Linked DNA regions of Macaca mulatta. The protein of the gene in region 1 purifies or fractionates together with the protein of each later gene. This does not show direct contact. Links are inferred from orthologs where the notes say so. Each region holds a gene or a part of one and is shown on either strand. Other genes may lie near its edges.

Region 1 (8,250 bases):
CTTTTATCATTCCATTGTTTTAAGATTAAATCATTGCTCTATCTGGACTTTAGTAAATCAGGTTTGAAGCAGGGATTCAACTTTATTTTTCCAGCTGGTTACCCAGTGGTCTATCATTTATTGAGTAATCCCCACTGATTTGAGATGCCCCCTAGTTTCTTTTAAATAGCAAACTTTCACCCTTGTGTTTTAAAAATGTAACTAGTGCCAGGCGCGATGGCTCATGCCTGTAATCCTGCACTTTGGGAGGCCATGGTGGGAGGATCACATGAGGTCAGGAGCCAACCTGGCCAACATGGTGAAACCCCGTCTCTACTAAAAGTGCAAAAATTAGCTGGGCATGGTGGGAGGTGCCTGTAATCCCAGCTACTCGGGAGGCTGAGGCAGGAGGATCGCTTGAACCCGGGAGGCGGAGGTTACAGTGAGCTGAGCCAGTGTGGGGAACAAGAGTGAGACTTTGTCTCAAAAAAAAGAAAATATATAATTAGGTAAAAATTAGGGTTGATAAAACTTTGCAGAAGCACATTGGCTTAAAGTGGGAGATTTGACAAAACATTGGGGCATGAGCCAGGCATGTTAACACACACCTGTAGTCTCAGCTACCCAGGAGGCTGAGGTGGGAGGATTGCTTGAGCCCAGGAGTTGGAGGACAGCCTGGCAACATGCAAGACCCTATCTCTAAAACAAACAGGCAGGGCACAGTGGCTCATGCCTGTAATCCCAGCACTTTGGGAGACTGAGGTGGGCAGACCACTTGAGGTTAGGAATTCAACACCAGCCTTGCCAACATGGTGAAACCCCATCTCTATTAAAAATACAAAAGTTAGCCAGGCATGGTGGTGGGTGCCTGTAACCCAGCTACATGGGAGGTTGAGGCAGGAGAATCACTTGAACCCAGGAGGTGGAGGTTGCAGCGAGCTGAGATCGTGCCATTGCACTCCAGCCTGGGTGAGAGTGAGACTCCATCTCAAGAAAAATAAAACACACACAATATTGGGGCAGCTACTGAGTATGTTTCTTTGTCTTGCTGCTTCATAGGACTTTCCCCTAATACCTCTCTCATGCTGATATCCCTCTGTTGGCCATTTTCTCCCCAGGTTTTCTAAAGTGTGACACGCTACACCTGAGCCCTCAGCCCTTAAAAGTCTCACCTCCGTAGCAATGACTGATACATTTTGGGTTGGGATATATGTAACGTTGAAAACCATCTGATGGAAGTGTCAATTCGGTTCTGACTGCTGACAGAAATTGAGAGAAAATGTTGAACAGTTCTGTCATGCCACAAAATGAAAAGCCTGCCCAATAATAAAATTAGATAGATTGACTAACAGTGAGAAAACCAGAGAGAACATAAGCTGAGGGCCACTGGCTGGATAATTTGGTATCTACATTGGCATATGGGCTGATATTTGGGGACTTTACAGCATTCCTTTAAAAGAAAACAAGAGGACATCATGTTTCACATTACATCTCCCAGTCAGGAGGAATTAGCAACATTCCCTGGATTATCTTACTGACAAAGCCCTGGCTTTGTATGTACAGATATAAATATTAACGACAAAAGGTCTAAAAATTGTTATAAAAATAAAGCATCAAACCAATGTGTGAGGCACTGAAGGTTTTTGCTTAGGGACTTTGTTTGCCCTTGAAATAGACTAATGGAGTATTTAGTCTGTTTGGGTTACAGCCCAGCATTGTAGAGATGGGGTTTCACCATGCTGGCCAGGCTGGTCTCAAAAGAAAGCCTGGAAAACCAACCTGGGGTTCAAACTATCACTATCTGGAGGAGTTGACTCTGTGATAATGGAGTCAGCAGACAAAACAGACAAAAGTCTACCTTTATGGAGCTTGCATTTTTACTAGGAGGGTGGGTGAAGGAGAGCATGACAATAAGCAGGCATTAGTCAATTCTAGTCATGTGAGAGGGTATTTTTTTGCAAAGACAAAGAAAGGAAGCAGCACAGCAGGAGCCGTTGGGAGCGCCAGGGTGGGATGGGAAACCGGGCTGGCATGATCAGTAGCATGGCAGGGCAGTTGTCTGTGAGACGGTGACAGCATGAACCAAGACCTGAGGAAGGAGAAGCGACTGGTCATTGTCATAATCCTATAGGAATCACCTTGGTTCTAATTTGATAATTTACTTTTTGGTAAATTAAGAAAACCTATTAGGTACATAGGGGAATAATACTAAAGAGATGATAAAAGCCCTCCCTAATTTTTTAAGAAATAAAACTCTTAGACTTTTCTCTGTGCTCCGTAAGTCATAGTTGTTGAAAATATGCTTATTTCAAAGCTCAAATACCAGACTAGTGAGGAAATTTCAAATTATGGAACGCATTTTTCCCAGATTGCTATTCAGGGTGATGGATGACAAAGGCTGGAAAGTTCTGTCTGTTCTGACTTGTGTCTGTCCTCACTGGCTCCAGGAGTCGGCGTGTGTGAAAGTGGTGGCTGCCGTGAGCATGTGGGATGTGTGCATGGAGCGAGGACACCGGGACCTGGAGCAGTTTGAGAGGGTGCATCGCTATATCAGTGACCAGCTCTTCACAAACTTTGTAAGTAACTTTTTCTTCAAAAGTTGGCCCCCTTCCCAAGGTCATCTCAAATGCATCAGCTCATGCAAAAGTCAGTTCCACAGACGCAGGCCCTGGGCGCCAGGCATATTAGTCATCCTTTAGCTATATTCATATTGGGGTTTGATATTCACAACATGACTTTCAGTTAGTTAAAGGGAAATGTAGGACCTGTGTCTGTACAAACAGATTTTTTTAAAAAACAGCTTGTAGGGCCGGGTGCAGTGGCTCAAGCCAGCAATCCCAGTACTTTGGGAAGCCGAGGTGGGCGGATCATGAGTTCAGGAGATCGAGACCATCCTGGCTCACACGATGAAACCCCGTCTCTACTGAAAAATATATTAAAAAATTAGCCAGGCATGGTGGCAGTAGCCTGTAGTCCCAGCTACTCGGGAGGCTGAGGCAGGAGAATGGCGGGAATCCAGGAGGCGTAGCTTGCAGTGAGCCAAGATTGCGCCACTGCACTCCAGCCTGGGCGACAGAGCAAGACTCCATCTCTAAAAAAAGAAAAAAAAAATAGCTTGTGATTAATTTAGTTAAAGAGGACACAGGAAAACTAGGCAATTAACTGATCAAATAAAAACAACTATAGGAGTAATAACTTGAAGAGGGGCCAGGTGCAGTGGCTCATGCCTGTAATCCTAGCACTTTGAGAGGCAGAGGCAGGCAGATCACTTGAGGTCGGGAGTTCAAGACCATCCTGACCAACGTAGTGAAACCCTGCTGCTACTAAAAATACAAAAATTAGCAGGGCATGGTGGTGGGCACCTGAAATTCCAGGTACTCAGGAGGCAGAGGTCAGATAATAGCTTGACCCCAAGAGGAGGTTGCAGTGAACCAAGATTGCACCACTGTACTCCCTCCTGGGCAACAGAGTGAGACTACATCTCAAAAAAAAAACCTTGAAGACAAATATTTAGGAATATAATTCATATGTTACCAAAGAGATTTGAGATGATAAAAACTACTTCAAGGCCGGGCTCATGCCTCTAATCCCAGCACTTTGGGAGGCCAACGTGGGTGGATCACCTGAGGTCGGGAGTTGAGACCAGCCTGACCAACATGGAGAAACCCCGTCTCTACTAAAAATACAAAATTAGCCAGGCATGGTGGTGCATGCCTGTAATCCCAGCTACTCAGGAGGCTGAGGCAGGTGAATCGCTTGAACCTGGAAGGTGGAGGTCATGGTGAGCTGAGATCTCCAGCCTGGGCGGCAAGAGCGAGACTCTGTCTCAAAAAAAATACTTAAAGACCAAATTTCTTGAGAAATTCTAAATCCATATATATGGGATTATTTAATCCCTTGTAGAAAAAAAACTGGATGGGATTTGATAGTTTCTTAGGGATCTATAAATGGCTTGAAGGTGAAAAAGACATGCCCAGCTGGGGAGCTGACAGGTGTTCTAATTGTACATTATTTTTAATAAGATGCTATTAAGTACTACTAAGTACCTGTTTATGTTCTTTATGTATTCATTGCCTTACCCTTAATGTCTGTGTGTTAGAAAGAATTAAAGAGAAAAATTTATTATTTTTGATATGGAGTCTCTCTGTCACCCAGGCTGGAGCGCGGTGGCACAATCTCGGCTCACCGCAACTTCTGCCTCCCGAGGAGCTGGGACTACAGGTGCACACCGCTGCACCTGCCTGAGTTTTGTATTTTTAGTAGAGACAGGGTTTTGCCAGGCTGGTCTCAAGCTTCTGACCTAAAGTGATCCGCCCACCTCGGCCTCCCAAAGTGCTGGGATTACAGGCATGAGCCGCCATTCCCAGCCAAGAGAAAAATTCTTTGAAAGATAAAAATGGGGGCCGAGTGTGGTGGCTCATGCCTGTAATCCCAACCACTTGGGAGGCTGAGGCTGCAGTGAGCCGAGATTGCGCCATTGCACTCCAGCCCGGGTGAAAGAGCAAGACTCCGTCTAAAAAAAAAAACAAAAAAAAAAACGGTATTACCTAGTTATGATTAAAGGTTTATGAGTGTATGAAAGTTACTCCACCCCAGATTTATGTAACAACTAACTCTGGAGTTAAATTCAAGCTATGTAGACATGTACACATAAGAAATGTTACCAGGTAAACTATCACATCTAGTTTCTAATGCACATATCAGCGTGCAGCTTAGCATTTATCACCTCAAGGAGCTCAAGTGGGATTAGCATATTTTACATACTCTTTGGTGTGGGAATTGAAGTATGTAGTGAGAAGTCTTGTGGAGTATTTAAGTAGAGGCTAGTGATGGGTTAGTAGAATACTGTTGTAGATCTGCATGGGTTTAGCTTGTGTACTAGAAACAAAGTAGGTCGTTGAGGACACAGCAAAATCAGCCTTAAGAGTGACTTGGAGAATCACAAATGTGGGGTGCTGTCCATCTGAGCAATGTGCCTTTCTCGTCCCTACAGAAGGAGAGGACAGAGCGGCTTGTCATCTCCCCCTTAAATCAGTTACTGAGCATGTTTACAGGGCCCCATAAGCTGGTACAGAAACGCTTTGACAAGCTCCTGGACTTCTATAACTGTACAGAACGGGCAGAGAAGCTAAAGGACAAGAAGACCCTGGAGGAGCTGCAATCGGCCCGGAACAATTACGAGGCCCTGAATGCGCAGCTGCTAGATGAGCTGCCCAAGTTCCACCAGTACGCCCAGGGCCTCTTCACCAACTGTGTCCACGGCTACGCTGAAGCCCACTGTGACTTCGTGCGCCAGGCTCTGGAGCAATTAAAGCCACTGCTTTCAGTGAGTTTCTTACCCCTTCAGTGGGATGGTCATCTGTGGCCTTTGCCTGGTATTTTTCTGGGAAAAATTGTAGCATGGTTTGAAAAATTGTCTGAACTAGATTAACTGAACGTGTCGCTAGTTCAGCCCTCAGGAATTCTTGATCCCTTGATGGTGTCATGAAGCCTGTGGCTTCTGAGACATCCCTTTTCCTCTTGAGCAGTTCCCAGAGGAGCCAGCCAACCTGGCCCGCAGGCAGGGCCCTGGAGAACTTGTGTTTTGCATCAGGCTGCTGTGTCCGTGGCTCAGAGAGTGAGCTGCAGCTGAACTTTAGCTTCAGTGGTTCTCAGGAGACTTTGTCAGTCTGGGATCTTTCATCGTGTTTTCTTTTCTCTCTCTCTCTGCTTTTCCCACGGACTCCAGTTACTCAAAGTGGCCGGCAGGGAGGGAAACCTTATTGCCATCTTCCACGAAGAACACAGTAGAGTTCTGCAGCAACTCCAGGTTTTCACCTTCTTCCCGGAGTCTCTTCCAGCTACCAAGAAGCCGTTTGAGAGGAAAACCATTGACCGCCAGTCTGCTCGAAAGTCACTCGTGGGCCTGGTTAGTAGGGAACTGAGAGGAGCAGCCCCACCTCGGGGTAAAGAGTGGGAAACCCTGCAGCCAGGCCCAGATCCCACTATTGGAGTTTCTGTATTTCATAATAAATGGAGAATAATGGTTGCATTCTCACCCATCATGGGCTCATGCATTTGCCCAGTTTTTGTTTGTTTTGTTTTTGAGACAGTCTCTCATTCTGTTGCCAGGCTGGAGTGCAGTGGTGCAATCTTGGCTTATTGCAACCTCCGCCTTCTGGGTTGAAGTGAATTCTGCTTTCAGCCTCCCAAGTAGCTGGGACTACAGGCACACGCCACCACACCCAGCTAATTTTTGTATTTCTTAGCAGAGATGGGGTTTTACCATGTTGGCCAGAGTGGTCTCGATCTCTTGACCTTGTGATCCATACACTTCGGCCTCCCAAAGTGCTGGGATTAGAGGCGTGAACCACCACGCCCGGGCTTTTTTTTTTTTTTTTTTTGCAGGGAGTGGGGGCATTCACCTGGTATTAATTTATTGATTCATTAATTCAGGAAACTGATTTAAGGGTGTATTAATTCTGCCAGGCCTCCCTATTTTTTATCCTGTATTCATAAAAGTAATACAGCTAAACAGTTAATGTTTGACTGCCTTTTTTACCTGGAATTAGTCTTTTTTAACTCAGTTCTTCCATATTTTAAAAACTAGCATAAGGCACACCAGATTATATGGGTTCATAATCTAGAGGACTGTGGATACATCTTTGCTTACAATATTTTTGCCCCATATGATCCCATAGACATTAATTTACATTACCTTAAAAGGGAGAATTATGATTTATTTTTTGAGACAGAGCCTTGCTGTCACCCAGGCTGGAGTATAGTGGTTCGATCTTGGCTTACTACAACCTCCCAGGTTCAAGTGATTCTCCTGCCTCAGCCTCTTGTAGCTGGGATTGCAGGCATGCATCACCATACCTGGCTAGTTTTTCTATTTTTAGTAGAGACAGGGTTTCGCTATGTTGACCAGACGGGTCTCGAACTCCTGGCCTCAAGTGATCTGCCCACCTTGGCCTCCCAAAGTGCTGGGATTACAGGTGTGAGTCACCATTCCCAGCCTGAATTTATTATTACCTTTTTTCTTATGACTTCCTTGCTTTCACAGGTGGGGAAGTTAAGACAGGGAAAGTCTCAGTTGGTTAGGTTCATCTAACAAAATACAAGAAGACCTACTAATATCACTTAGATATTTTGATTTTTTTTTAAGTGGCATTTTAATCATGTTTGTCACAGAAAAATGAATGTAAGAATAGGTGTGTATCAAATTTTCTTAACTATAAAGGCATCAAACATTGCCTAAGGGCTCTTTTTACGTAGCCATGTGCGCTGGCTTCATCACAAAAAAAAAGTTCTGAGACTGGCCGCGTGTTGGGATGAAATATGGCTGCTGGGGTGGTGGCCACTGAGGGATTTTTGTTGATGTCTTGCCTTTCAGCCAAGTTACATGCTACAGTCAGAAGAACTCCGGGCCTCCCTCCTGGCCAGGTATCCCCCTGAAAAACTCTTCCAGGCAGAACGGAACTTCAATGCTGCTCAAGACTTGGATGTGTCACTTTTGGAAGGTGACCTGGTGGGTGTGATTAAGAAAAAAGACCCCATGGGCAGTCAGAACCGCTGGCTGATTGACAATGGAGGTAAGAGATTTTCAGCAGCAGGGAATTGTAACTGGGAAAAAAATAGTTTTAGCTACACCCGAATCTGGACTAGACCAGGAAAAAAAAATATCTTTGATTAAGGGGAAAAGTAGCCTTAACCTTCTCTACAGAGTGAAGATCATTACTGAAACAAAACCTGTTTTTATTGGGACGAATTCCAGAGGAGACGCCATTGCTTATCACGCAAGCTCTTGCCATGTCTTACAGCACTTACAGGCGGGAAGGCCTGCCTCATGGAATCCTGTTCCTTCCTAGCCTTTTCCCAGTAGGCCACAAAATAAGCTGCCCTCTTTTCAATTTTTTTTTTTTTGTGTGTGGCAGTCTTGCTCTGTTGCCCAGGCTGGAGTGCAGTGGCACAATCATAGCTTATTACTCCTGGGTTCAAGGGGTCCTCCTGCCTTAGCTGGGACTACAGGTATGCCATCATGCCCAGCTAATTTTTCAATAATTTTATAGATATGAGGTCTTGCCATGTTGTCCAGGCTGGTCTCCAACTTCTAGGCTCAAGCCATCCTCCTGCCTATTTCTCCTAAAATGCTGGGATTATAGGTGTGAGCCACCGCAGCCAGCACCTCTTCCAATTTCTATGAATTTGTCTTGTGGAAATTAAAAACCTGTGGGATTTCATGCTTGCTTCTCCCCATAACAGCTTTACCTCATGACTATTTAGGAAATT
Region 2 (8,250 bases), on another chromosome or scaffold:
ATGGTCTCGATCTCCTGACCTTGTGATCCGCCCACCTTGCCCTCCCAAAGTGCTGGGATTACAGGCGTGAGCCACCGTGCCTGGCCTAATTTTGCAATTTTAGTAGAGATGGGGTTTCACCATGTTGATCAGGCTGGTCTCGAACTCCTGACCTCAGGTGATCCACCCACCTTGGCCTCCCAAAGTGCTGGGATTACAGGCATGAGCCACTGCACCTGGCCGGCCAATGCTCCCCTTCTAAAGAAGGCTGTTCCCGACGACTCCCACGCTAGCACCACTTTCATAATTTAACACACTATACATTTTCTTTCTTATTTTTTGTCCCATTCATCCCACTTCCCCCGCTTCTGAGCACTCCAGGGGGCAGGGATGGACACCTGTCCCGTCCACTGGGGCGACTGCCGTGCTTAGGATGGAGCCTGGCACGCAGAATGCTTGCAGCGAGTGTCTGCTGAATGAATGAGTGGACGAGTGATGAGTGGTGCCCAGTCTAGGGGGCCCCGTGGCGGATGGAAGGCAGGAGCCAGGCTGGTGGTGGGGGCGGGTGCCAGGGTACGTACTGCAGCAGGGCTTTGGTTTTGCGGGTAGGGTCGTCGGGCCGGAAGTTCTTGTACTCCTCCACCTCCTTCTCCAGGGACAGTAGCTGGCTCTGTAGTTTGCTACGCAGGGCTGGCAGCGACTCCCGGATGTGGTTGGTCAGTTGCTGCAGGAGAGAGGTCAGAGATCAGAAAGGGTGGCATGGGCAGGGGACCAGTGGGTAGCAGGCATACTCCCCCCACCAAGGGCCAACACCAGGGTGCCACTATGAGGCCAGCACACCACACAGCCTTGAGACAGCAACAGATATATCAAGCCACAGATACACTCGTGTCTGGGAAAGGAGACGGTACGGAGCTGCTCATGAGTGTAAGAGGCTACAAACAGCCCGTGGGGCTGACATCAGGCACTGGGCATATCAACGCCTTGGGGACATGCAAATACTTGCAAGGACAGTCCATCCAGACCACAGAACATGGGCGCCAATGAACACACATGGGGACAGGCCCTACAAACTAAGACGGAAAGATCTCCCCTGAAAAGCAGCAGAACGCACTTAAGATGACCTCCCTGGCTGCATCTGCATCTACAGAGAGAAGCAAGAAAGATTCAAAATAGACAAACGTGGGCCAGGCACGGTGGCACACACCTGTAATCCCAGCACTCTGGGAGGCTGAGGCAGAAGCATCACTTAAGATCAAGAGTTTGAGACCAGCCTGGCCAACACAATGAAACCCTGTTTCTACCAAAAAATACAAAAATTATCTGGGTGTGGTGGTGGGCACCTGTAGTCTCAGCTACTCGGGAGGCTGAGAAAGAACTCAGGAGGTGGAGGTTGCAGTGGGCCGAGATCACACCATGGTACTCTATCTAGCCTGGGTGACAGAGCAAGACTGTCAAAAAAAAAATTTCTTTTTAATTTAAAAATTTAAAAGAAAAGAAAAAGAAAAACAAAGCTATAAAATCAGCCTATACTTGAAAAGTGTAAAGCAGAGTTCTGCCATCTGTCCCACAATAGAGAAGAATTTAGAAAGTGTTCATCAAGGCTGGGTGCAGTGGCTCACACCTGTAATCCCAGCACTTGGGGAGGCTGAGACAGATCACTCGAGGATAGGAGTTTGAGATCAACCCAGGCAATATGGTGAGACCTTCTCTCTACCAAAAATAAAAACCTTTTAAAACTTAGCTGAGTGTGGCAGTACACGCCTATAGTCCCAGCTACTCAGGAGGCTAAGGCAAAAGGATCGCTTGAGTACAGGAGGCTGAGGATGCAATGAGCTGTGTTTGTGTCACTGCAATCCAGCCTGGACAACAGAGTAAAATGCATCAGAAAGCCTGGATAACAGAGAAAAATCATCAAAAAGGCCGGGCATGGGCCGGGGGTGGTGGCTCACGCCTGTTATCCCAGCACTTTGGGAGGCCAAGGCAGGCAGATCACGAGGTCAGGAGATCGAGACCATCCTGGCTAACGTGGTGAAACCCTGTCTCCACTAAAAATACAAAAAAAAAAAAAAAAAAAAAAAAATTAGCCGGGCATGGTGGCAGGTGACTATAGTCCCAGCTATTCAGGAGGCTGAGGCAGGAGAATGGCGTGAACCCGGGAGGCGGAGCTTGCAGTGAGCTGAGATTGCGCCACTGCACTCCAGCCTGGGAGAGAGGGAGACTCCATCTTGGGGCGGGGGGTGAGAAATAAAAAAGGCCAGGCTGGGTACAGTGGCTCATGCCTGTAATTCCAGCACTTTGGGAGTCTGAGGCGGGCGGATCACCTGAGATCAAGAGATGGAGACCAGCCTGGCAAATGTGATGAAACCCTGTCTCTGCTAAAAATACAAAAGTTAGTTAAGTGTGGTGGCGCACACCTGTAATCCCAGCTACTTGGGAGGCTGAGGCACGAGAATCACTTGAACCTGGGAGGTGGAGGTTGGAGTGAGCTGAGATCACACCACTGCACTCCAGCCCGGGCAACACAGTGAGGCTCTATCTCAAAAAAAAAAAAAAAATTCATCAAAAAAATAAAAATAAAATAAAAAGTGTCCAGTGAGCTAGAAAAGAGGCATGAAGGAACCTCACATCTATGGCATGGAGCCAGTGGGGTACCCCAAAGATCTCCTTGACCAGGGATCCCTGCCCTGCAGCCCCGGCCATGGACCCCCGTCTGTGTGGGCTGCCTAGAAAGGCAGGGAGCTACGCTGGCCTTCCCTTGGTCTCTGACAGGATACTACTGCACTGAAGCCGTGAGCAAATGGAGAGGAAGGGGCACTGCTGCTCTGGGAAGCACCCCACGCGAAAGGAGGCTGAGCCCCCTCCAGGCTCCCTGGTGGCCACCTGGGCTTTTCGCTGCTGGCTCTCAGGAGGACCCAGCCAGCTGTGGAGTTTTACTTCCCTTCCTCTCCCTACTCCCGTTTGCAGGCAGACCCCAGCTTCCTCTCCTGGTGGGCCCCTCCCTCTAGACACTGACTTCCCTCTTTGCTCTCCTGAGCTGCCTTCTTTGGGTGGCTCTTTTCCCGGTCCCCGCCCCTACTGGATTCTTGATCGTGCATTTCTCTGGTGGTTTGTTTGGTGTCAGTCTCCCTCATTAGAATTATGCCTTCCACAAGGACAGGAACCTGCTCTCGTGTGGACACTGCGTGCCCCGATATGTGCGTGAAAAGATGACTCCTGGAGTGCTGCTGAGGCCCTGCTGCCATCCTGGAAGGTGCTGGAAAACAGCACAGAGGAACATCTTGCCCCTGCTACCACGCACTGGCCCACTGTATAGCTTTTAATACCATTTCTGTTTATGCACCCTGTGAATATATTACTTATAAGAAGAGAACGATAGGCCAGGCACGGTGGCTCATGCTTGTAATCTCAACACTTCGGGAAGCTGACGCAGGTGGATCACTTGAGCTCAGGAGTTTGAGACCAGCCTGGCCAACATGGTGAAACTCCATCTCTACTAAAAATACAAAAATTAGCCGGGTGTGGTGGCACATGCCTGTAATCCCAGCTACTCAGGAGGCTGAGGCAGGAGAATCGCTTGAACCTGGGAGGTGGAGGTTGGAGTGAGCCAAGATCATGCCACTGCACTCTAGCTTAGGTGATGGAGTGAGACTCCGTCTCCCCCCCAAAAAAAAAAAATAATAATAATAATAAATAAAAACGTTATAAACCCCGTCACCAATACCACGCAATGCATACAATCTTCTGGGTAAATGACTGAATAATTACAATGGTAATTAAAATATTGGTAATAACAGCGATGGTTGTAATAGTAGCAGCACCAAGTCACTGAACATCTGCTTTTCACCAGACCCTAAATCAAGTACATTGCTTTTATTTAGTTATTTAATTTTTTGAAACAGGGTCTCACTCTATTGCCCAGGCTGGAATGCAGTGGCATGAACATAGCTCACTGAAGTCTTGATTTTCCAGGCTCAAGTGATCCTCCTGCCTCAGCCTCCTGAGTACCTGGGACTACAGGCATATGCCACCATGCTTAGCTATTTTTTTCTATTTTTCCTAGAGATAGGATCTCCATATGTTGCCCAGACTGGTCTCGAACTCCTAGGCTCAAGTGATCCTCCTGCCTTGGCCTCCCAAAGTGCTGGGATTACAGGCATGAGCCACTGCACCTGGCCAAGTACATTTATTACAGCACAAATAAATGTGGACTGAACCTATTTTGCTAAAACAACTGCTGCTCTAGCCTGAAACAAGTGCCAGTGAGGACTGCAGCTATTGTGCAGTGCACAGCCTACGCCACTGCACACTACTCTGCAAACCCTTGCAGTACCTGATTCAGCGTCTTCTGCAGATGTGGTGTGCCCATGCGGTCAGCCATGTGCCGGTAGGCCGGGTGGGAGAGGAAGAACTTCCTCTCAGCTGCCAGCGCTGCACGGATGTCCTTCTTGCCCTCAATATCCTTCTGGCTGCGGTTCACCACGCCAATGTAGCCTGTGGGGAGAGGCAGTCAGGGCAGGGGCAAAGCTAGGTGAGCCAAGTGTACCTGGCATGGAGATGGGCAAGATTCAAGTATAGAGATGTATCCTGTCCCACAAGGCACTCACAGACTATGTCATAACATGTTACTCGGAAACAACACAGAGGATGCGAATGCACATGGCAGCTGCGAAGAGGAACGTTAAGTATTTGGAGGAAGGAGGGATCACATCCAGCCTGTGTGTGCAGGGACAGAAAAAAGCTTTGGGGCGGATGAAATCTACAAGCTGAGATTCAAAGACAGGTAAGAAAAAAAATCTCGGCCGGGCACGGTGGCTCAAGTCTGTAATCCCATCATTTTGGGAGGCCGAGGCGGGTGGATCATGAGGTAAGGAGTCCGAGGCCACCTGGCCAGCATGGTGAAACCCCATCTCTACTAAAAATACAAAAAATTAGCCATGCATGGTGGCGCCTGACTATAGTCCCAGGGACTCGGGAGGCTGACGTAGGAGAATTGCTTGAACCCAGCAGGTGGAGGTTGCGGTGAGCCAAGATCATGCAACTGCACTCTAGCCTGGGCGACAGAGCAAGACTCTGAATAAAAAAAAAAAAAAAAAATCTCAAGGCCAGGTGCAGTGGCTCACACCTGTAATTCCAACACTTCAGGAGGCTGAGGTGGGTGGAACACTTGAGCCCAAGAGTTCGAGACCAGCCTGGGTAACATGGCAAAACCCCATCTCTACAAAAATATACAAAAATTAGCGAGGCGTGGTAGCACATGTGTATAGTCCCAGCTACCTGGGAGGCTGAGATGGCAGGATCACCTGAGCCTGGGAGTTCGAGGTTGCAGCAAGCTGTAATTACCCCACTACACTCCAGCCTGGGAAACAGAGCAAGGCATTGTCTCAAAAGAACAAAGAGAAATAACATATTAAAAACAAGAGCAATAGGGAACAGCTAAAATCCACTATCAAACAAGTATATTTTAAACAGTTGGGTACATCAGAGTATTCATGTCCAGAGAGATCAGTGGAACCGAAAGAAAAGTCCAAAACTATACCGAGAAGGAGGTAGAACTGAAAGTTAACACTTCAACGTATGGAGGAGAAAAGCTGGATAATTCAATGCATGCTGTTGTAAAGAATCCTAGTGGAATGCCTGTCATTCCACTCCTGGCTAGGTTTTTGTTTCGTAGGTTTTTTTTTTTTTTTTTTTTTTTTGAGACAGAGTTTTACTCTCATTGCTCAGGTTGGAGTGCAGTGGCGCAATCTCAGCTCACTGCAACCTCCGCCTCCTGAGTAGCTGGGATTACAGGCGTGTGTCACCACACTCAGCTAATTTTTTTTTTTTCCAGTAGAGACGGGGTTTCACCATGTTGGCCATGCTGGTCTCAAACTCCTGACTTCATGATCTGCCAGCCATGGCCTCCTAAAGTGCTGGAATTACAGGTGTGAGCCACTGCGCCTGGCCTATGCTCCATTTTCTTTGCAGTGGGGTTGTGCATCTTTTCTCTTGAGAAGGGGAGAGGTGCCTGTCATCTATCCTGTAAGGTCTTGTGAGATGTGACTGCTCTTCATCCTCTCCAGATCTCTCTCAGATCCAAGAGGGAGGAGGGAAATGGAGACATGCCAAGGTGAGGTCACAGTAGGAGACCCAAGATCTGAACCTAGATCCCTGTGAAGACAAAATCACCATCACCTGTGTGACAGCACGAAGACGGAAACAGCAGGGGCCAGCAAAAGGCATCTAGCTTGGATTTGGGTTGATTTACTTATTTAAGAGATGGAGTCTCGCCCTGTTGCCCATTCTGCATTGCAGTGGCACAATCATAGCTTACTATAGCTTTGAACTCCTGGGCTCAAGCCATCCTCCCAACTCAGTCTCCTGAGTAGCCGGGAGTACAGGCACATGTACCATCACACACGGATGATATTTTCTTTTTTTTTGAGACAGAGTCTCACTTTGTCACCCAGGCTGGAGTACAGTGGCGCAATCTCAGCTCACTACAACCTCCGCCTCCCAGGTTCAAGCGATTCTCATGTCTCAGCCTCTCTAGTAGCTGGGATTACAGGTGTGCACCACCACACCCGGCTAATTCTTTTTTGTATTTTTAGTAGAGACAGGGTTTCATCATGTTGGTCAGGCTGGCCTCAAACTCCGGACCTCAGGTGATCCACCCGCCTTGGTCTCCCAAAGTGCTGGGTTTACAGGCATGAGCCACTGTGCCAAGCCTGTATGATTTTTCAAGAGAGAGATGGGGTCTTGCTGTGTTGCCCAGGCTGGTCTCAAACTCTGGGCCTCAAGCCATCCTCCCAACTGTGCTTTCCAAAGTCCTGGGGTTACAGGCATGAGCCACCACGCCTAGCCTGGGTTCCCGTAAAGCAGCAGGAGTTGGGAGTCATTAGTACGCCAGGAAAAAGGGTCCAGTGGGAGGGCTTCTGAAGCCTGAGGTCACAAACCAGGAGCAGGCCTACAAGTCAGCTGAGAGTGGAAGCGCCTTCGTTCTTGGAAACAGGACGCAAGGCAGAGAAGGGCAGCTGTGGACATCAGTGAGTCAGGAGGAAGGGGAAGAGGCCCATATCACCAAATCCTCAGCCCAGCTAGTACCCACAGACCCCGAAGCCCCTTAGGATCCAAGGTGGAGCCTAACAGTATCCAAGAGCAGCTGGGTCGGGGTGGCTGTAGTAGGGTGTGGGGTTGGGTAGGGTCTGCTTTCCTCTTTAGCACCAGCAAATCCTCCCCAAACCTTAGCCAGTCACAGATTCACTTCTCAGCCCCGGATCTTCACAGTCAAACAGGGTTTTGAATTTAGCCCTGACCACATTCTCCTGGGATCCAGGGTCACCTCACCACTCAATGTCTCAGCAGTGCTGGGGGATGGTGGTAACCAAGGTCTGAACTTTTCCCCACATCTATCTCAGACACCAAGGTGGAAAACCCAGGAGTAAAAGAAATGGTCTAAGTGACTGTGGCTAAGCATGAAGGGAAAGGCCGGAGATGCTCGCAGCTTAGAGTAGATCCCAGAGGGCAGGAATGGTTTTTAAAAAACACAAAACAAGGCCGGGCACAGTGGCTCATGCCTTTAATCCCAGCACTTTGGGAGGCCGAGGCAGGTGGATCACATGAGGTCAGGAGTTCGAGGCCAGCCTGGTCAACATGGCGAAACCCCGTCTCTACTAAAAACACAAAAATTAGCTGGGTGTGGTGGCGAGTGCCTGTAATCCCAGCTACTCAGGAGGTGGAGGTTGCAGTGAGCTGAGATTGCGCCCCTGTACTCCAGCCTGGGTGACAAGGCAAAAACTCCATCTCAAAAAAAAAAAAAAAAAAGGAAAAGGAAAGGAGATGTTATAATAGAAAGTAATTTTAAAAATTAATTACAGTTATAAACCCTGGGGAGCCGGGAGCTGCGGAAGATTCACGAGTGGCTGTCTGGGGGAAGTGTGGCTGCGGGTGAGTTTAGTTTCCTCTTTCTATACACTTGTTTTCTAATGTTCCAGAAACCAGCAGGTGTTAACTGTGCACTTGAAAAATGAACGCATACAAATCAGAAGAAAAAGATACATATGCTCAAAGGGAAAAGAAAGAAGGAGTTACGGTGAAATGGAGAAGCAGTGACTTCCAGGCAGGCAGAGAACAGGTGCCAGGGTTTCAGTAACGATAAGGACCCCACCCATCCTCCTGCTTCCCCAGTCCCCGCAAAGCCACACCTCTTCTCAACGGGAGCAACTTGTTCTCCAAGACGTCCCTGGCATCGGTGCCCTCGTCCATCAGGTCAAGCTTGGTGATGACACC

What was found.
Region 2: the proteins of DNMBP (region 1) and DNM2 purify together in Homo sapiens (co-immunoprecipitation; 3 studies listed by BioGRID and IntAct, with this or other methods). This does not show direct contact. The link is inferred for Macaca mulatta from reciprocal best matches to the Homo sapiens genes DNMBP and DNM2.

Annotation. Positions count from the first base shown.
Region 1 is NC_133414.1:111,946,562-111,954,811, reverse strand, and holds part of DNMBP (dynamin-binding protein), read left to right. Parts: intron 1-2,426; coding exon 2,427-2,555; intron 2,556-4,972; coding exon 4,973-5,305; intron 5,306-5,707; coding exon 5,708-5,887; intron 5,888-7,354; coding exon 7,355-7,553; intron 7,554-8,250. UniProt on the Homo sapiens protein: Plays a critical role as a guanine nucleotide exchange factor (GEF) for CDC42 in several intracellular processes associated with the actin and microtubule cytoskeleton.
Region 2 is NC_133424.1:11,518,136-11,526,385, reverse strand, and holds part of DNM2 (dynamin-2), read right to left. Parts: coding exon 8,166-8,250; exon of another isoform or gene 7,882-8,165; intron 4,474-7,881; coding exon 4,313-4,473; intron 704-4,312; coding exon 561-703; intron 1-560. UniProt on the Homo sapiens protein: Catalyzes the hydrolysis of GTP and utilizes this energy to mediate vesicle scission at plasma membrane during endocytosis and filament remodeling at many actin structures during organization of the actin cytoskeleton.